Linked DNA regions of Drosophila melanogaster. The protein of the gene in region 4 interacts with the protein of the main gene of each other region in a pairwise test. Each region holds a gene or a part of one and is shown on either strand. Other genes may lie near its edges.

What was found.
Region 1: the proteins of tamo (region 4) and CG8924 interact in a two-hybrid assay, tested with the Drosophila melanogaster proteins (one large-scale study listed by BioGRID).
Region 2: the proteins of tamo (region 4) and Paris interact in a two-hybrid assay, tested with the Drosophila melanogaster proteins (one large-scale study listed by BioGRID).
Region 3: the proteins of tamo (region 4) and CG8534 interact in a two-hybrid assay, tested with the Drosophila melanogaster proteins (one large-scale study listed by BioGRID).

The regions. Positions count from the first base shown.
Region 1 is NC_004354.4:15,939,494-15,945,000, reverse strand, and holds CG8924 (uncharacterized protein), read right to left. Parts: upstream 3,925-5,507; 5' UTR 3,369-3,924; intron 2,630-3,368; 5' UTR 2,550-2,629; coding exon 1,711-2,549; intron 1,652-1,710; coding exon 946-1,651; 3' UTR 552-945; downstream 1-551.
Region 2 is NT_033779.5:4,461,717-4,465,575, reverse strand, and holds Paris (parkin interacting substrate), read right to left. Parts: upstream 1,966-3,859; 5' UTR 1,790-1,965; intron 1,736-1,789; 5' UTR 1,731-1,735; coding exon 690-1,730; 3' UTR 501-689; downstream 1-500. Other genes in the region: FIG4 phosphoinositide 5-phosphatase, read right to left, coding at 1-196, 258-338; CG15443 (uncharacterized protein), read left to right, coding at 2,616-2,952, 3,013-3,752.
Region 3 is NT_033777.3:9,810,861-9,814,490, forward strand, and holds CG8534 (uncharacterized protein), read left to right. Parts: upstream 1-1,886; 5' UTR 1,887-1,944; coding exon 1,945-2,169; intron 2,170-2,354; exon of another isoform or gene 2,355-2,372; coding exon 2,373-2,945; 3' UTR 2,946-3,079; downstream 3,080-3,630. Other genes in the region: eloF (elongase F), read left to right, coding at 3,322-3,522, 3,588-3,630.
Region 4 is NT_033778.4:24,127,522-24,135,245, reverse strand, and holds the start of tamo (tamo), read left to right. Parts: upstream 1-1,694; 5' UTR 1,695-2,249; intron 2,250-3,406; exon of another isoform or gene 3,407-3,651; intron 3,652-4,808; 5' UTR 4,809-4,846; coding exon 4,847-4,970; intron 4,971-5,032; coding exon 5,033-5,232; intron 5,233-5,297; coding exon 5,298-6,566; intron 6,567-6,632; coding exon 6,633-7,433; 3' UTR 7,434-7,724. Other genes in the region: Naa35 (N(alpha)-acetyltransferase 35), read left to right, coding at 1-19; Zfrp8 (zinc finger protein RP-8), read right to left, coding at 76-765, 820-904, 962-1,230. UniProt on the Drosophila melanogaster protein: Has an essential role during oogenesis and embryogenesis, perhaps in modulating the levels of nuclear import of additional proteins. Modulates the nuclear import of dorsal (dl), Dif and male specific lethal 1 (msl-1).

The DNA.
Region 1 (5,507 bases), on a different chromosome or scaffold from region 4:
CAGTGTGACCGTTGATTGAACATGAAAAGAAATAGATTCTATGAGAAGTATTCAAAAAGCGCCGTTTCCACTTCAACATTCTGCGCCTGCACTGTGCTAATCTACATACATATGTACAAATATAAAAAAAAAATGATTGACAGTAACAGTACAAATTTCAAATAATAAATTTAGCAAAAAAAAAATTGTTGTTACTTTGAATGCATTTAAACTTTTATTGCCCAATCATCTCGTACACAGTACTTATGTATTTAATAATACTTTCACAACGTAATTTATTATTGGGATTCTTGCATTTATGGCCAATTGTTATAATGACCAAAAAAAATAAGCAAACAAACAAACCGAGTAATTGTAAGCAAGTATTGAAGATTTGCGTATTCTTGTAGGAAAAGTACATGGTTTTAAAATAGATCGGATGTATTTGACCAATAATAATTACTTTACATTATTATTTAGTTTAAGCTGTTAGCATTATGATTATGTCTTTTACGACCTTCGAGTTTATTATAAATTTTCATCTTATCTTTGCAATCACACGAATACCCAGTAAAAGTTTCCAGGTCGATTTTATTTATCTTATTAACAATACAGTAATTCCTTAAAGTACTGGGGCGACAAGAAACATAATTGAAATTTTTACGCAAGTTTTTAGTCATAATCCTTGTTGATAGCATACATCTACTGTAATTTCTTATGATTGCCAAAGTAAAATGAATAATGATTGAACGGCAAGAGTTTTTCAACCAAGGATAAAACTGTGGCATCTCCAAAGCGTAATTAAGTAAACCTATGTATAAATTGTATTTTGTTGACTATGTTATGACTAAAGATCCCACACGAGCCGATGCGTACCCCGAAATGAAAGAAAGCAGCTACTGCTTGGAAATCCCTCTCTATTAATACACGCCCTACTAGTACAGCACAACTTGGCAAATTGCGTGGTTAGATCATGTGCAGCTTCTGATCGTTGAGTTTGAATGCCGCCGCATCGCTATGGAGGTGAAAAGGCACAATATCACCTGTTGTGGCCATATCAAATGATGGTGACATAGACGTTGCCGTTGCAGTTGCCGGACTATTGCTGCCACTGGTATTTGCGATGCCCGCCTTGAGATGTAGGCTGTCCATGGACATTTGCTGAGACTGCGTGTGAGGAAGGGGATTGGTGTGGATATGCGGATGGGCTGGGGGATGAGTTATGCTCGCTGGGACGGTTGAGAGTTTTCCTGAGTTTGTTGTGATTATTATGTTTCCGGCATGGGAAGCACCACGTCCACGTTTCCGCTTCGGAAGAATTCCTTTTCGCGCCATATAGAAACGAATGGTTGAGACAGGAATATTGAACATATTGCTGACAGTTTGGAATGTCTCGCCCTTCGAAACACATTTGGCCGCTTGTGCTAGAGATGCTTCTGAACGTCGAACGCGCTTATATGAAGTATAACCATCGATCGAGCTATGGCTCAGTCCTCCGGAAGTATTGGCCGATGTATCGAGATCAGTGTCAAGGCTGAGGGATAGCCCGGATCCGCATGGCACTCCTGTCGCAAAACTGCTGTCATTGTTTTCATCATGAGCGGCCACATAGTTGTGGTCGTCCTCAACATTTGAATCCAAGTATTGCTGCTGCTGAAGCTGCATTTGCATCCTGTGAAAAGATATATATATTTATCCAGAGATACTTGTCATATTAATGCAAAAACAAACCTCGCCTGCTGCAGGGATAGGTGGACATTCATTTTGTTGTCAACGGCTTGCGCAGATATATTGCAATCATCGAATTGCTCCCCGTAGGCATTCCAATTGTTCGGCACCTCGTCGCCGGAGTCATCCTCGGTTGGTGCATTCGAGTGGCTGCCCAAAACGTTCGTAGAGGTGGCCTTAGATGGCTGTTGAGCATTACTGCCATTTATCTGGGGTCGCTGCTGCACCTGCTGCTGCTGCTGCTGTTGCTGCTGCTGCCGAGCATCGGGATTCTGGCGCTTCAATACTGTGGGTTGCTGATGGTTAACCGGTAGCGGTGGAGCGGAGGAGGTGGTCATTGTTGTTGAGGTGGTTGAATTAGTGGCTGCATCGTCCGTTTCCGCGCTGTCCACATGCTTGAAGCTTCGCGCTGTGGTTGCAGCTGGATCCTTAGCAGCCTCGAGACTCGCCTGCTGGAGTTTCTTGTAGTTTATCGGTGCCTCAGAGCCGTATAGACCGCGAATCTGCAGTTGTTCGGCACAGCGAAGCAACTGGCCAAGACCGGCTTGCGTGACATTGACCTCTCCCTTGTACATGAAGTCCACAAGCGCCTGGATCTCCCATAGCTTGATCTCCCTGGGCAATATGATGACCGGGTGCTTGCAAGGATGCTCCGCTAGTATTGCCTCAAAGTAGGTGGAACAAGCGGCCAACACCAGACGATGGCAGTGCACCTGTTGGCCTTCGCATGCGAGTGTTACATCCACGAATCTCTGGCCTGCTAGCAGCTGCGGAAAAGCAGCTCCAATGCTGCCCAAATGGCTGTTCCAGCGTACACAAAATTCCTGTGTAGCGCCGCTCATCGTACTCAAAATATAGTTCGCGCCTTTACTGTGCTCCTGAGTTTACGAAGCTATCGCTCATTTAAAGATCCTTGTATATCCTGCAATAGAGTGTTGGTAAATTCCAGGATAAATTATAACTATCGTCAATAGACAATAATTCGAATATATCATAAATTCGACTCTCTTGAATGAACTAAGAATAAGGATCAAGTAATTTGACCGAATCTTTCTCGTGACATCATAATTCTAGTAGGTTTCCCTTAAAAATATTGTATTGCATATTAAGTATATATATTATATGAACTCCTTTTGTTTGATTTTTGATATATGAAAAAAAAAGATACTTCTTTTTTTTGCATTGCATTAATATTTGCATTTCATTTAATAATGGATTAAAAGAAAGAATATTTTAGCCAAATATATGAGTTTAAAAATAGCATTGTCCCTTTTCCACTTTTTTGTATTGTTTTTGCATGACAGTTACGTTATTCCTAAGTTTTTATTTGCTTTCTTTTTAGCAGTTGACCACTGTATATACATACATACATACAAACACACGAGCGTACATACAGGTGCAGAGGTATATGCTTATTTACATTTGATAATCGTCCAAATAAATAATGTCCTCAGTGTGAAACTGAGGAGAAGACCATGCGAATTTTCACTTGCCATGTTTTATGTACCCACATACATACGCACGCTTGCATAAATACATATGTACACCTCCACTAGCGATTTGCACAATTGGAATTACTTCTATATTTAGTAATAAGGATGTAAACAGTTGAATGTACGCGTTATATACATGTACGCATCCCTGCGAATCTGAATACATACCTGTTTGTTTGCCAAGGAACCGAAACTTCGCTGATTATAGTTCTTTACTTCTCGTTTTTTGGGCGCTATGTAACACAATAGATGCGATGGCGTGAAAACGAACGAGAATTTTATGTTAGGACTGTATGTCCTGTGCGCGTGAGCTATGTATGAATGTATCAGCGCCGGAGTCTTGTTTAAAAATACACACTATTCTTGCATCAAATCGTGCACAACACAAAAAAATATGTACATTTCAGGCATTAACCAATGTCTCTATTTACAATCCCTCATCGTTGTCCGTGAGTCCCATTCAATTCGTTGCTTTATTAATGTTTATTTTAACCAGAAATGCTGCATGCGCGCGATTATATTTCCTTTTTTTATGTACAACTGTTTGTTTTGACAGACTATAAACAAATAAACGGCAAATTAAAGTGCCAAATCGATTTGCACGTTATGCGCTGAGTATCTGCCTTTTTTAACTCTGCCTTCAAGCTATATTTAAATTATAAACTTAATATTGTCTTTCGCGCTGTCTGCTTCTGTAGCAATCAATTGTTATTTAAACTACGCGTTAGGCATAATTGCTGGGAATTGCAAGCGTTTCATAAACGCGTTTCTGAGTAAATGATTCTCATGTACCGGGCTTTTTTTATATTAAAGTTTGTTGTTAATTTTTCAGTTACTTAATGCATGCAATCGATAAAATTTTTTTTAGCTGAATTATCGCGGAAACAAAACTATTTATATTGAAATATTAAAATATAGATAGGGATCGGTGGGATAACAGGTTTCATATGCGAAAAAATTCCAGTCGTTCCGCTTTTATATCCACTAAGCGAAAATTGCCGAACGCAAGCATATCGATCTTTAAATGTGAAAAAGCCAACCATAAGCTAACAGGATAAATATTAAATAATAGAATAGAAAATACAAATCAATATTTGAGGTAAGGCCGTTACAGGATATTTTTGAAGAATTATCGGTAATTATCGAAATGCCCTAAAAAGTGGAAACAGTGTATTAACGGATACTTTACAATGTATGTATCACTATTATACGTTGCATATATTTCTTCTATTGTCCTTTTGCTAATATATTATGTTGCATACAAAAACTTTAACCTATTCGGCAAAATATACAATAGCTCTTACATGACAAGTGTTTGCAGCTTAAAATTTGAAGTGTACATTTTTCGCTTTCAGTCGACTGGTCACACCGTTCAACCCAAACTGACTCGGGAATTTTAGGGTGAGTGCTTTTATTTTTATTTGAGGTCTAAAAAAAACTTATGGAAGTTTACCATTGGGCATCCGCATATGTGTGGTTATTAAGTGCTTGGCTTTGACATTGTAAATTGTGCAGTCATAACGCAGCCGGATCCAACCAGACATTGTTGAAATTCCCAGTTTTCTGCGTTTTTAGAAGTAAACAAATGCTGATGCCTTCCACAACTTACATATCTACATTCGTATATAGTATCAATGTCTAATATTAAAAAATATTGTAAAAAAATGAAGAAAACAGTTACACAGTAAGGTTTGCATATGATTTTGAATCCATTTACTGCTGCCATCTAAATGTACCGTTATGTGCTGTCTTTGCAACGATATCTGTAGGAATTCATTGTATTTTACGCATTTATTTGTTTCAAATTGGAGATCAAAAACTATCCCAAATGTATTGTAACTACACAGATGTAAAACGCACATTGGTATAATATAATAGATCAGAATGATAGTATAAGTCTAGTTAGGTGTCGAAAATGTTTTGCTACAGCATCCGCAGCTAAACTTACACTAGTTAACAAAAACGCAAATCCAAATCTAAAATAACTGCCCAAAAATTAATTTTATGTTGGCGAACCGAAAACTCAACCATTTTATTACTCATGCCGTTTCCCTAATATTTGCATTTCTCAGTAAATTTGCGCTCAGGCGGTTATCTTTAAAGACCCCTAAAACTGAATCTCATTGACAAATAAAAGCCTCGTAAGTCTGTGCCCAGTAAATCTTTATTTATTGGCCAATGCAATAATACTTTCGCACACAGTTGGATTTGCTTGATTATTTAATCAATTTTCTTTACGTACTATACGCTTCGGTCACTATGGAATTTAATAGAATATGGAATATGCGTTATAAAGTCGAGAGAAAA
Region 2 (3,859 bases), on a different chromosome or scaffold from region 4:
AGCGCACAAATCCAAGGACGCCATAAGCGGACGTCACCTTGGGCGAACCCGAAAGGGAAGCGACAAAACGTCGGATCTCCAGGCTGTTAAACTCGTTGGCATTCTCCTCGATACTCAGCCGGTTGTGGGCAAGTCGGTCTATGGTCAGGAGGCGAAACCGAGTCTCCCGATTGTTGCTGCCCACCAAATAGAGGCGCTGAAATTATGGCGATATATGTGATTAGTCAAAAAAAGGTCAGCTGGAGGTGATTTCTTACCGCTCGTGTCTCATAGAGCACTACTTTTTGGATGGAGCTTATCAGGGGATTGAAAACTATATTCGGATTATCATTGTTCATTTTTTCAGCTTTTCCGAAATTTTTTTGTTACAATTTCTCAGGCCGCTCCCACATAAACAACAAACAGCTGATCATCATCTGTAGTTGGATATGCGAGAAATGGCCAGTGTTGGCAGCGTGAGAGGGAGTCGATTAATTAATTTTGTTTTGGTTCAATCAAATATAAATAACATTTTATTCCATCATAAAACATATCAAAATAGGCATATTCATTACCAACCAATTTTATGCCTTATTCTTACAATACCTATGAATATGTTAGCTTATTTTATCATCTAGCAAAATCATTTTTGTCCATTTTAAAGTAGTGCACATGGAAGATATGTCTTCCAAGTGTTTTTAAAGTAGTGGTCACTTGTGTATCTCGAGGATATGTCTAGCAAGTGTTTTTCTCTGCTTATAGAAACTGGCACAGTGAGGACACTTAAATGTTCTTTCAGCGTTGTGTACGAGCTTGTGCTCCTTGAGAGTGCTGCTCAGCCGAAAAGTCTTGGGACAGTGGGAGCAGCGAAATGGACGATCTGGTAAGTGCAGGCGGCTGTGCTGCTTGAGGTGCTGCTTCATAGCGAAGGCCTTGGGGCAGTGGGAACACTTGAATGGTCGTTCACCAGTGTGAGAACGGAAATGGTTATCAAGGTGAAACTTCCTCGTAAATGTTTTCGTGCACTTGGAGCACTTGAACGGTCTCTCGCTGCCATGTGTGCGGATGTGACGCCGGAGATCGGATGATTTAATAAAGGTTTTTGAGCACTGTGAACACTTGAATGGTCGTTCGCCAGTGTGAGTTCGCTCATGCGACTGCAGAGTGGACTGCTGCGCAAAGGTCTTGGCGCAGTGGGAACACTCGTAGGGTTTCGCTGCATTGTGGGTCTTCATGTGCGCCTTGAGAGTGACTCTAAGTCTAAAGTTCCGCTTGCAGTAGGGGCATGGGAAGGATTGTCCGTCCATGTGTGTTCGCATGTGCCTCAGAAAAGTTCCCTTTCGCTGGTATTTCTTGTGGCATTCTCGACATTCGAATGCTACCTTCTTGCTGTCGCTTTTCCCATCGTCATCAGCAGCGGATGCAGAATCAATCCGCGCATCTTCGTCTTCCGAAATCTCCCAGTCTTCTTCTTCGAGCAAGGCGCATAAAGCATCCTCGATGCCTTCATCGCGAACTCGGCAGTAGAACTGGTGGCTTTCCTCACAAGTTTGCCTTATCCCATACGCGCTCTTTACGTCCTCATAGCACTGTGGGCATATCATTTCCGAAAACAAATCGCCACGTTTGACCTCGAATCCGGTGCACTGCGCGATCATCTCGGCAATGGAAACTCTGGTTCTTCGTCTGGCGTCAAATATGTTAACGAGTTTACCAGAAATATCCATACAAACTCGGCATATTTCCGCCATTATCCCTGTAATAAACAATACTTATTAGGCTGAACTTTATGAAGGACTATATTACTTACCTGATGTATATACTAAATAGCTTATAGCTGGAAAAGCAATCTTTTATAATTTAGGAATCCGTTTCATACATCCCAATTAATTGAAAATTAATGCGATTGCCTTGATGAACAATTCAAAATAATAATAAGCTAAACTTCACATTGTGCACAGTACACTGGGCACCCTATTCTCTGGGCCATATGCTAAATCGATTTATTATCGATGTTCGAAATTCAAATTATTTATCAAAATGATGATTTTTGAAACTAAGGTGTGTTTACCATATTTAACAGCTGAGATAAACGCAAACTTGCAAGGGTCGCCCTGTGGTGGTCAGCCCAAGTTTTGATGGGAAAATTCTTATCGGATATCGATATCCTTTACCTGTTGAAGAATATAAAATTGAAATAAATTTCTTTGGAAAAACAAACATTTATCTTCGTATAGTTTTTTCACATTTTCGCCTAGCTAGTGGTGAATAATTTTGGACAGAAGGAGCACTGGACTTTTTCCGTGGAAATCATAGAAAAATTAAATTAAAAAGGCACAAAAAGGAAATGAATCTCCTCGCCGAACTTCTTTGCCAGTATAAAAATAAATTCACATATGAAAAATCGGGTTCCTGGGTGCCACTGAATATGTTTATCCATCGATTCCGGGCTCAGATTACCACCATTGACCTGAAATTAAATAAGCATTACTTACTCCAAATAAAATATAAACAAACAAGTGCGTACCTTTTTTGTTTACAATTTTAACAGCTGATGAGTGAAGTGCTGTTAACCTTTCATAGTTATCGATAATCTGTTATTATTATCGGAATATTGCTCACTTGCTAAGGATTCCATGAAATTTAAACAAATGGACTTTGTGACGACAACTGGGGAGGGAAGTTTTCTGCGAAACAAGATTCGTGCATATGCCAAGGATCACCGTGTTGAGTGCCGCATAAAGGCGAAAGACTCATTGCGCATTGGACTTGGACAGGTTAAGCAGGAAGTGGCGGCTCTTGAGATGGGCACCAAGGACGTCATTGGAATGGCCAGCAGGATCAAGCGTCGCAAGCACGCCACCTCCGAGGATCTGTGCCGCTTGTCGCTGGGGTTCCTCCAGAGCAATGACAACATCAATGCATTCGCAGCTATTCCTGGCGCCATTCAGGTTCTGGTTAAGGAGCTAACTGGTAACCAACTGCACCCTCATTAGCTTTAGTTTTATATAAAAAGGTTGACTTGACTTTCAGGACCTCACATTCAACGACAGACAGATGCCGTGGAGTGCTTGTGTAATCTTTCCTTGGGCGAGGCCCATGTCTCCGAAAAGATTGTCACTTTGGCGGGCAGCTACATGGTCACCTACCTTGATGGCAAGGCCGAACGCCTCAAGCGCAGTTGCCTGTGGACACTGGCCAACGTTCTGGGCACATGCGACAAGGCCGGCAGCGTATTGCTGCAAATGCAAATAGTACCCAAGCTGTGGAGGCTCTACATCGAGCCCAATGGCTGCCAAGAAGATGCGGCCATCTGCCTCTCCCTGGTGGCCACCCGCTGCCCGCAGCATGTGAGTGACGAGGATCGAAGGTACATTGGCCAGAATCTGCCTGAGAAGCTCCACGGCCAGCCTGCCAGCGAGTACTTCATGTACATAGTGCACCAACTGGAAATAGTGACACAGGAGCACAAGTTAGATGCTCAACAGGCCGAATGCCTGGTGCGTTTCTTTGAAGCCACCTTAGCATCGCCAGCCGACCGGCTGTGCCTAATCTACGCCGTGCGTGTAATGACCAATCTGGTAGCCCTAGGTGACACAAGTCTAATATTCGCACTGGCAGACCCGCAGAATCTTGTGCAAACCCTAAACCAGCTCTTCGCTCTGCGAGATCCAGATCTCAACCTGGACGCGATGCGCTTGCTCAAGAACTGTCTGCACTTGAAGGTAGCAGATTCCAACCTGGTACTGAATAGCTTGCAAATATACGCATAGGCTTATGGTTAAGAATAAGTCTTGCAAATCTCTTTATTGGTCTTAGAGTACATATAAATATAAAGCCACGGACTTTTGAGTACTCGAGAATGTATTGTAAATGAACA
Region 3 (3,630 bases), on a different chromosome or scaffold from region 4:
TCAGGCCGACGAAAAAACTGAGCAAATGGATTTTCCTGTGGTCAAGCTGAAAGCAGGGCAAAGGTGGACAATTAAATTATTATTGCCGCGATATTTAGTCGTGTAAACAACATTAATGTGTCGAAAATAATAACCACTACCATATTCTTTTAAAACTTTTACTTTTACTTAAACTGAAATCCTCTGTAATGTATGAAATTCTCCATATGTGCTTTCTTTTTAAGTGCACCTCATTTAGGAGCTGCTACCTTTAAGAAATTTTCCTTTCCATACCAATTTTCTTTTGGGTAGTGGCAACCAAGGAGCGGATCAATGTGTGTCAATGGGCCTGTTGCCTCCAATTGAATCCACCTGTCCGCTGGCGGAGTGCCGAGCTGCATGCCTGACATGCAGCAGAATATGCCAAGTCATTTAGATGGAATCGCTCACATTTTTAATGACAACTAATGCGAGTGCCCTGCACCACCACCACCAACAACATCACCATCAGCACCACCCTTCGCCAACCTAGTTTTTGGGCCCGGCTTAATCACATTTCCAGGAGCTCTCTTTCGGGCAAAAGTGTGTATGTCTAATGCGCAAAACTTTTAATTGAGTTTAAAATTGCATGAAGAAGGGACGAACCGAAGGTCCTCTGCCAATGGAAATCGGCAAGCGTAATTAAACGCGAGTGCGTGTGTACATATGTATATGCGCGCTGTTTTTGAAGTGTGTCGGTTTCAATCTCGGTAAATTGCCCATGAAATATTAACTCAACCATAATGAGACGCAATTTGCGTATCTTTCGCAGTTTTGCCAACGAAATTTGTGGCAGGCGTGTAAAATGCCACACATTTGTGCAAGACAAAGGTTGTACCATTTGAATTATAAATGCTGTGGTTTTATGTCTTTGACCTTTTTACCACCTGATCGCATCTGATGCACCTGTCCGCTCAAAATACAATGGCAAAAAAAAAAAAGGAAGCGCCATAATCCTGCTTATTCCGCGCTCAAAGGACACTTTCTGTGACCCAATTATGGCCATGAAATTGTGACACATTGAGGCCTCGCTGCATTCGCCCTCGTCTTTGTACATTCCCTATAATCCAGTGCGGAATGAAAAATGACTCAATTTGCAATGGCCGGCGCACAACAGCACACCTTATAGCGGAACACAATCCCCCCAATTGCCACATATAGTGACCCATCCCATCCCATTCCATCCAGCACCAGTGTCATTATTTTCATTTCCACCGCAGCCACAGCTGCTTAATAAGAAGTAATTCTACCTTCCACACGGTTAGTTAGTGGAAAATGTCTTGGCTTATGGGTGGAAATTCCCCCCCTTTTCTTCGCATCGACAAATGGCTTTTTGGTGGCATGGCACGAAAAAAAATCGAAGTGAAAATGTATGGATCGCATTTTCCGACTGCCAGATATCCGCTATTGAGATTCACAACATGGTGCACCATGCACCATGTCAAAAGTTGTTTAATTGGAATTCTCACTGGCGTGAACACTACGTGCATACGCGTTCAACACGATGCGTATAAAACAATTTACAAGCGGCAGAATCGATGTTTTATTGCCATGCTGGCGATTTGCAGTTCAAGTGCAGCGCGCAAAAACTTGAACTTTTGTCATAAAAGTTGGAATAGTTATACTGACCGATTGGTGAGTGGAAAAAAACGGCTTAGTGTTTCTGGTAAAAAAAAAAAAACAAAAATATTGTCTTATTGGCTTAGTATATATGCTCTGAGTACTGTGTGTACTGAGCAAGTGTATACGTACTATTGCAAAATTAGAATTTATGTTAATGCCGCTCTTCTTTATGCTACGCGACCAGCTCGCATTTCCAATTCAATGGAAGCGCATTTGGTTGAACATAAAAGACTGAACTCTGATTAGTTGCCAGTGAAACATTACCTCGAGTGGAAGCGGATTGACTTTAGATTTTCGTTTAGAATGGCCGATTTACTCAATGGAACCCTAATCATTTCGGAGGATCCTGTCCGCCTGCCACTCATCGGAAGTCCATGGCCATCGCTGACCATCGTTTCGCTCTATCTGCTGTTTGTCTTGAAGTTAGGCAGGAAGTTCATGGAGAACAGAAAGCCCTACGATCTCCGCAGAGTCATCAGGGCATACAACATTATGCAGATTGTCTACAACGGCGTTATTCTGATAGCGGTAGGTACATAGAACCCAGACGGTCATAAGTCACTACAGAATGCACCATTCTGCATAATCATTAATGTGACATAAAAATCAGATGATCTTATAAACTTAACTCAATGATCTTAATAAATCTTAAAATGATCTTAATAAATTAACATAGAGGCAACATAAAAATATAGACTGTGTTCCATACTTACCACATCCTTTGCTTCCAGGGTCTTCACTTTTTGTTCGTCCTGAAGGCCTACGACCTGCGATGCATCACCAAACTGCCGCTGGATCACGAGCTGAAGAGCCGAGAAAGATGGTTGACCTACTCGTACTTCTTCAACAAGTTCATGGATCTGCTGGAGACTGTGTTCTTTGTGCTGCGCAAGAAGGATCGCCAGATATCCTTCCTGCACGTCTTCCACCACCTGGTGATGTCCTTTGGCGGATACCTGCACATTACCTTCAACGGCTATGGAGGCACTCTGTTCCCATTATGCCTGCTCAATGTGGCGGTCCATGTGATCATGTACGCCTACTACTACCTGTCCTCCGTCAGCAAGGATGTGCAGACGAGTCGGTGGAAGAAGTACATCACCATTGTCCAGCTGGTCCAGTTCATCCTGGTGCTGGCGAACTTTAGCTACACCCTGATGCAGCCCGATTGCAATGCCTCCCGAACTGTGATATATACTGGCATGTTCATTTCCACGACCTTCATCCTGATGTTTGCCAACTTCTACATTCACAACTACATACTGAATGGAAGCAAACAGAAGAGCGCGTTGAAATCCGATTGAGGCCGCAAATCCTTTGAATGACGGTGACTGTGTGTTTCGCGATACCGACTAACTAATAAACTTGCATTGGAGCACTCAGCACCAAGACTCTACTGGGCACCGTATTCACAGCTATCTCAGCACTAGCCCTGGCCAAGTTACTCGCTAGTCTTTTAATATCTTGAAGTCACTTAGCATATCCACGAGTTGTGGTACTTGAAAATCAAAGCGTGGATAGAACGCTTCCCGAATTCCCATTTAAAATGCACACTACGGCATACGAATGTAAATGCTCCATTTAAAGAAACATTGTAACAATTTGTGCCACTTAAGGTCGAGAGCCTAATTTCGAGTTTGGATTAGTCACTATCAATCGCACAACTCGATTAGATTCGCCATGTTCGCTCCGATAGATCCTGTAAAGATACCCGTTGTAAGCAATCCATGGATAACCATGGGCACATTGATTGGCTATCTGCTGTTTGTGCTCAAGCTGGGCCCCAAAATCATGGAGCACCGAAAGCCCTTCCATTTGAATGGCGTCATCAGGATCTACAACATATTCCAGATCCTTTACAATGGTCTAATACTCGTTTTAGTAAGTATTTGAACTGGGGCTTCTGGACATCTGCAGGTTCTGATGGGAGGATGCTACTTTTACAGGGAGTTCACTTCCTGTTTGTCCTGAAAGCCTACCAAATCAGTT
Region 4 (7,724 bases):
CATCATCAAGCTGAAGTAAATGTTCACGTGTTTCGTAATTGACAAGAATAAAATTTAAATGTACGCATTTTAATGTCAACTCTGATCCTCCGCCACAATGTCCTGCTTGATGAGAAGCTCCTCCACGTAGCCGTCGATGGGGCAGCTTTTGGCGCAAGTGTAGACGGCCAGGACGCCCCAGTCGAGGTTTTCGTCCTCCAGAAGAGTCAGCGCTTGCGGCATAATCTGAAATTCGAACTGACGCTCTCCTCCGCAAGCAATGCAATTGGGCAGCTTGTTAAGTTGGTCCTCCACCGTTTTGACGGTATTCGTGATCCAGAGGGGCTGGCCTCCACGTTTGTAGCGCACGATCTGATCGGGTTCGGCTGCTGTTTGCTTTTTGAACTGACGAAAGGTCTTGTCATCGGCGGCCGCCGAGTTTCCGAAGTACTTGTCCATCTCCGCCTCGGAAACATTGCTCAAGTCGCCCGTCTTCCCGCTGGACTCCAGCTCCTGGAACTCCGCCAAGCGAGCCTCATCGTCCTTGTCCTCCTCGCCAGACTCCACGGGGTTGCTGTCCATTACAATCTCAAATTCTGGGAAAACGATTTGTGTTAAGGGCTTCTCAGTGGCTACTTCTGGTGCTCCGCAGTTTGGCTTGTGTTGTGGCCAGTGGGCCCTTTGATGCTCTGGTGAGCAGTAGTGGATTGCCTTGCATTTGCTGCAGGCGTGAGGAGCATGGCAACCGCAGGCGGCGCATAGTTTCTTTAGGCAGGGAACGGCGGGCTAAGAAAACATATTATGATGAGTATGTTCTGAAAATATGGCTGCTGTTCCTACCAGGGGTTGACCCACGTCGCTCGGCTCCTCCTCCGAAAAGAACTTATTTTTTCGCGGCAACTGTGACCTGAGGACTGTGAAATTGCTGGAAAGATGGGTAAGATTAGGTTGCAAGTTGGTTTTCAGAGCTAGAAGGGATTACCTTGCATTTTGGGCCTCCTGGCAGTCGGAATTCCGGCACAGGAACACATAGATGGACCGATGAAAGTTGTACTCGTCTTCGAAGGGAGCGTATAGCTGAGCCAGGAAGGATTTGGGTGCCCTGCACTTGCTGCACTGCAGCTGCGACGTGGGCGGCAAGGCCTCCAGTTCCAGCCATGCGGGCTGGCCTCCCAGCTTGCTGGGAAAGTAGCGGTTGCTCAGCCAGGCGCCATTGTCGCTCTTTTCCGCAAATCCCAAGTCAATCTCCATTTCTTTCAATCTCCGAAACGAAACTCGTGTTCAGTGTGACCGCAGCGGGAGCGCCAGAAAATACCTCTACAAATTCCGAAATAACGTTGTATAATAACTGATATTTTCGGGGAATCACACTTTTTGGGTGTTATAATTTAAAATTTAAATTAATTACATTCGTTTAATTTGTTGATTTCGGCAGTTCAATAAAATAAAATATTCTTTTCTTCATTGAATATTTGCGATTACTCTTATAAACATAAGGGGGAAACATAAGATTTTAATTTAATGACATTAATCTGGAAGAATAACAAATCTCATTATCCTGAGCCCTTAAAAATGGCAAGCGGTTCAAAATTATAGAGCGAGGATTAATCAGATAAGGCCCCTCTTCTACGCCACTGATAATAAAGCTTGCATGCCATGGATTTGGTATTTTCCGCGAGTTCCTCCATGGCGATTTCCCAGATTTTGGCCACTTCAGTATGCGGTTATTTCTCACGGTTAAAAGTTCTGCTCTCCGAGTTGATTAAACTGGCTAAAGTGATATTTTATTTACTGTTGTGATAAACGCGTGTGAAAAACAAAGACTTTCCATTGCCCGCGGACACAAACGATCACGAACCGAAGAGTGAACCGCTCAGAAACGGGGGGAAAACCAGTTTTCCCACGATTTGATGTGATTGTGAAAGCGCAACGAGATTTGTCAACGCAAACAAGCAAGAAGAAGAGCCCGTGGATAGCGTAATATTTGTTAATAATAACGGCTGCAAAAACAACAACATTGCGGAAGCAGAATCTCCGACTTGTCGCGTTTCCGTCGCAGCAGCGCTAAAAATAAACCCACCCACGCACCGCCCCCTCTCGAATCGCCAACCACCCACTCCCGCCCACCATCCACCTACCACCACCTTCCGCCCACACCCACGCACGAATTTGGAGAGGTGAACTTGTGTTGACTTTTCCAGCGCGCGGACTTTTCCGAAGAAAAATGCAAAAATGAGAGCCGAGCCACCAGCGGACCACTGGGAATTTGCGTAAGTCCAAGGCGGATGCTTCCTGGTTTCGAATTACAGGGTATCACGTGCGCTGCTGCGAGCTAGTGAACAAGAAGGCACCAGATGTTTGATGGAGTGCACATAGAGAAAAGTTTGTGTAGGAACTATTAGGTGTCCGGTACAGGGTATCTCCGCTTCGATGCCCCTGGCAGTGGCTCGCTTTCTGGCTGCCAAAGAACGAGCCGGGTGAGCTTTTATTTGCTAAATTTAGTGCCGCATTGCTGAAAATAAGAATGGGAGCACCCTGCCATCGGTTGCCGGTAGGCAGACTCATATATATGTATATGTATATGCATAATCGCCCCTGACGGCCAGTGTGTGGTTCGGTGGATCTTTGTCCAGGGCACATGGCCCGAAACTGTTGCATGGCCCATCCTCGTCCTGGCCAATCGATGCCTTCGATGCCGACTTCGACTTGGAGTGCTGCCTGAATCAATAAACGCCTCAAATCCCTGCCATATTGCGTCCATTGTAATGTCAGCACATAAATTCTCTGCCCATCGAGGGGCATTTTCACTCGGCTGCAGGCATTCGGTAGTGGTATGTACGCTATGTGTCCTGGCCAGGCAATAAATATTGAAAATTCAATTAGCAGACGGACGGGCAGCCGAAATGCTATGAATTTATCACCACCTGAGTGCGAATGTGCCTGTGGTACTCATAGTAAATAAGTAACTTCATTGCCATTCGGCCCACTCCACTTGCTCCACCTGCATGCTGGCTATTGATTTTAATCCGCCCTGCAATCATCTTGCTTCATTTGGCCGCTGAATTTATGGGTTCCCACGAAAGCTCCACTTTCTTCGGCCCGCTTTCCCATTTCCCCCACTTCACATTCCCATTCCCACCAACAATGTGTGCTGTTTCGGCGCTGGAAAACATTAATTAAAATTCACTGGACTGGGAAAGCTATCAGTTGCATGCATATTCAATTGATTCATTATTACAGGACATCATACATGTAATGCTCAGCTCATTAATCGGTTGACAGTGCGTTCCTTCGACTGACTGTTTAAATTCCCATTTCAATATTGTTGTTAACTAGTAGTATGTATGTACGTACATATGTACATATGCTTATGTACGACTTGAACCCAAGCAACTAAATAGGAAATTGTCAGTATGTGTAGCGTCGAAATTATTGCATAAGTAAATAAATTATAGAGGATGAGAAGGGAAGTCAGTTTATGTGGCTTGCATAAGTTTGTTTTGATATATTTGATAATTATACGCTTATCACTGCCAATGTTGTTCTCTCCGCACACCGCGTTTATTCGACTCCTCTTGTCACCACTTCGCCGTTTGCTCAGTTGCACTACACTTGTTTATCCACGCCCGCCTTGCTGCTCATTCGCATTCTGATTGGAGCGCCGAACGCCAAGTGAGTCACTCCCCAAGGTTGCTCAGCGTAGTGCCTCTCCGGTGTTCTCAGTATCGAATGCCAAAGGCCAATGGACGATCTCTGGCTCCACGATAGCCGATATCAATATCGAGTTAGCCAGTCAAGTGGCTCGGTTCTCCGGCTGGCGAGGGGGGAGATAAGGGCAAGCGATGCAATCGCGAGGCTTCTGGGTTCCTATCGAGCACTTGTGGGCTTTCCTTCGGGTCAGCGAGCAGATGATACCCAGTTGGGAGTAGTATTTGCCAGGTAAAGCTCATAGATAGTAAAGGGCTGGAGCTTGCTTTCCGGTTATCTATTATCATCACAACAAGTGAGCTCCATTATTGCGCTCACTTTATTTACTCTACTTATTTTCGCGTATATTAGGTAAGCCTGGAAATTGTACATGATTAGCATTTCTGACCTTATGACTCACCGAAGCAAAGCTACGAGCAGCCCCACATTTAGTTGATTTCTATACAATTCGCTATCTTTTATTTCAAAAATAAACCTTAGATTAGATACGCCTTTGCAAATAAACAAAGTATGCTGCAGAGTCTTCCTGGATCTCCACCTAGCAATCATAATAAAGGGCTTCCAGTTGGTTTGAAACCCCATAGATGGACTCTACTTAGTGTTTGGTCATGGTGATAGTTTTAGCTTTGTAATTTCTATTAACAAAAAAAAATTTGTATTTATTGTAAACGAAATCCCCTGAAACAGCTTTTCTCCCAGCCAATGAATCAGCTTCCACTGCATCGGGGAGCACAGTAGACGTAATCACAAGTGAGCTTTTTGTTGTCAACTGTTTTTGTCCGCGAGGGGCAAGTACTGGTTGCTTAGGTGCTCCGCTGGCTGGGAGGAAACTGATAAGGACTCGGGAATGCCACTATCGATGACGGGCCCCAATGGAGCCTATTGTTTGCTCTTATCTGTCCAGTTATTGTTACTCCATTCGAGCCCAGTTGGTTGTTTATTTGTTTGTTTGCTGCATGCCGCGACGGCGTGCGTCATGCGGGGAAGGATGTGATTCTGGTGATTCATGCCAGAGAAGTGCATCCCCACCCAACCCCTGGTGGAAAATCAATAGCCATGGTGGCGCGCTCTGGGCTCTCGAGATGTTCGCCGTAGTGTAACCTTGTGTTCTTGTTTTGCAGGAGCCGGAGGCGCCTTGAATGAGAGTCCTTAGCCCGAGATGTCGGATTTCGTGCCGCACGACCTCATCCCCGATCTGTGGGATGAGATTCTCCGGCGCCACTGGATGTTTCTCGAGACGGAGGAGAGCATAGAGAAGCTCGAGGAACGCAAGCAGCTGGAGGGTGAGTTCGCCGCCTTGTCCTTGTCCTAAATGGAAATGGAACTAATCAATCCGCGCTTACAGGCTGCCTGAAGGAGTTCCTCTGCGTGGTGCAGCACGATCGCAAGTTCTTTCTGCCGGAAACTGGGCATGTCCTGCGGAGGTCTGTGCTCGAGCTGCCCGACTTTTCGGCCCAGAACGCCATCGTAGCCTTCGAGACCATCAGCCAGTATGCCAACAATCTGTTTACGAAGCCATGGCGAAAGGAGTATCGAACTCTCAAGGTGGATATAGGATGATGACGTATACTAAATAGCCACTTCTAACTGAATAATCCTCCTTTCTGCAGACCTATTCGGGATGCTTTCAGCACGACATCCAATCCCGCCTGCTGGACGCCGAACAGCTCTTCCTGGCCATGGGCTATCGCCGGGCTGCCGAGGACACCTTCGTCCTCGAGGGTCCCATCTGTCCGGATCAGGTTACGAATGTTTCGCGCGACGCAATGGCCGCCTACGTGGAGTGCCAGATTATGAAGCACATCTACGCGGGAGTGACGGCAGCGGGATACGTCTGCACTTGGAAGGACATCCTACAGTTCCGCGAGCGTTACGTGGGTGGAACTTCCACGACCATCAAGGAGATGGTCAGGCAGCTGAGTGAGAAACGGGTACGAATGGAGCAGCCACCGATGCAGGAGAATACATATAGCAATGTGGTGAGTGCTGCTCCAACTGCCTGCGGCATGCGCAGCAACAACGTTGCCCATCATCCCAGCAGTTCCGGCACTTGTGCCCTGCATCCCAATGGGCTGAACGAGGCGGGTAAGTATCTGCCGCCTTACCCAGCGCCTCCGCCGCAGCAACCGCACCTGCCTGGTCCGCTGATGACGCATTCTCGCAGCCTGGATCACTACCAGGAACCGCAGGCCCATCTGCCTCACCGTCACTCCTTCGATCAGCAGCTCCAACAGCAGTGCCAGCTGCCGCACGTCTACGAGGCGCCCTATGACTGCTTAGATGGCCTGAGCATGGGCAGCAGTGCGTCCTACGCTGCCGTGACTGGAGCCTACAATGCACCGGGAAACCGCTATCCGCTGCCGTACAACATCTCCAGCCAGCTGAATGCCCCGTATGCGTCGCCCGCCGACTTCTATGGCAATGGACAGCACACCAACATGTACGCCACGCTGGGAAAGACGGGCCCAGCCCACAGCTGCGATTTGCACCGTCGCCAGCCGAACACTTCTGCTGCTGCCGCTGCTGCCTTGGCGGCTATGCAGCACCGTCAGAGCACCTATCCGCCGGATCACCACCTCATCGACTTTGACGAGCGAGCGCATCTGACCCAGCATGACTTTGGGACGCATGACTACGATCCGCAGTATGCCGAGCTGAGAGGTCAGGTGCAGCCTAGCATGCGGGGGAATCCGGTAGCCATGTATGCCACCTACGGGGGCTACGACCTGCCCACCACGCTACCGCAAGCGCCGCCGCCGACCGGCCAGGATATGTACATCTATGCGCGGCCGGTTCCGAAGAGCAGCCGTATGCGGGCTTTGGCCGAGGCGGGTGGCATTAATTCGACTGACAAACATCCGCGATCAGCGGAAAAGCAAGTAAGTTCTAACAACATCATCATACTTATATAATGGTTACATATCGTTGCCTACTCCTTTTAACAGAGCACCATGGACAATAATCGCAAGATGCACAAGGAATTGAAGGAGCGGAATAGTCGGACTGCACCGGCCAAGAGGTCCGGCACTGAACGTGATATACCCACCACCATTTCGGACTTGAACAGTTACGACTCGGCTAGTCTGGACGGATTTGTGGCCCTGGACAGTAGTAGCTCGCCGCCTCTCATGCCCAAAGTGCAGGAGGGTGTCGGCAGTTTCGAGTCCTGGAACTATGTATTCAAGAACCTCGAGCGATCGGGCTACACAAAGGACCTGGGTGACCGCGAGGACTTGCTGGTGCAGAGCTTGGACCTAGGCTCGCTGTCCATAACGAACGGCGGTGCAGCTCCTCCGGCGGAGAAGCGCCGTGAGGCCACGAATCCCACAAACGGAGAGAAGGCGCGAACGCTAGATAAAAAATCCGGTACGGGGCGACGCGAGGCTAAGGTGGTGCAAGCTCCTGCACCCAGTCCTCTGCCCAATAGCAGCAGTGCCGGCGTTAAGAAGGTCAAGTCCGCCTTGAAGACGGCCGTCGTGGACAATCGGGGAACCGGGTCAAGGCAACGCACAGGAGCTGTGCCCAAGCAGCCGCCGAATGTGTCTCCCCAGCTGATTGTGACCAGTCCGAACGAGTGGAGCTGCAGCTTCTGCACGTTCCTCAATCCGGACACGAAGCGCATCTGCGAGATGTGCTGCCGCAGCAAGGACTTCAACCTGGAGGCCGCATCGGCGGCTTCCTCCTCGGCGGCTGCAGCTGCGGCGTCAGCGGCCAGTGTGTCGCACGCATCCTCGACCTGCGTGTAGGATGCAGTGGATGCAACGGAACCCTCGTTAGTGATACAAACAGTGTATAGCTTCATATATTTTTTATACGACCAATGTAAGCCTGTGCGCGTGTCTCTAAGATCTAGTCTCGATCGAAGTCGTCGTTCGATGGCAGGCAGCCCTTTGTCATCCGCATTCGGCTCCTTGGATGAGCGGATGGCGCTGCAGACGGGATGGGTCTGCAGTCTGTACATACGAAGTATTCTAATTAGTTACCCCTACTCGTAAACACACGCTTTAATTAGTTTTAGATTGTTTCCCATTGTTAAG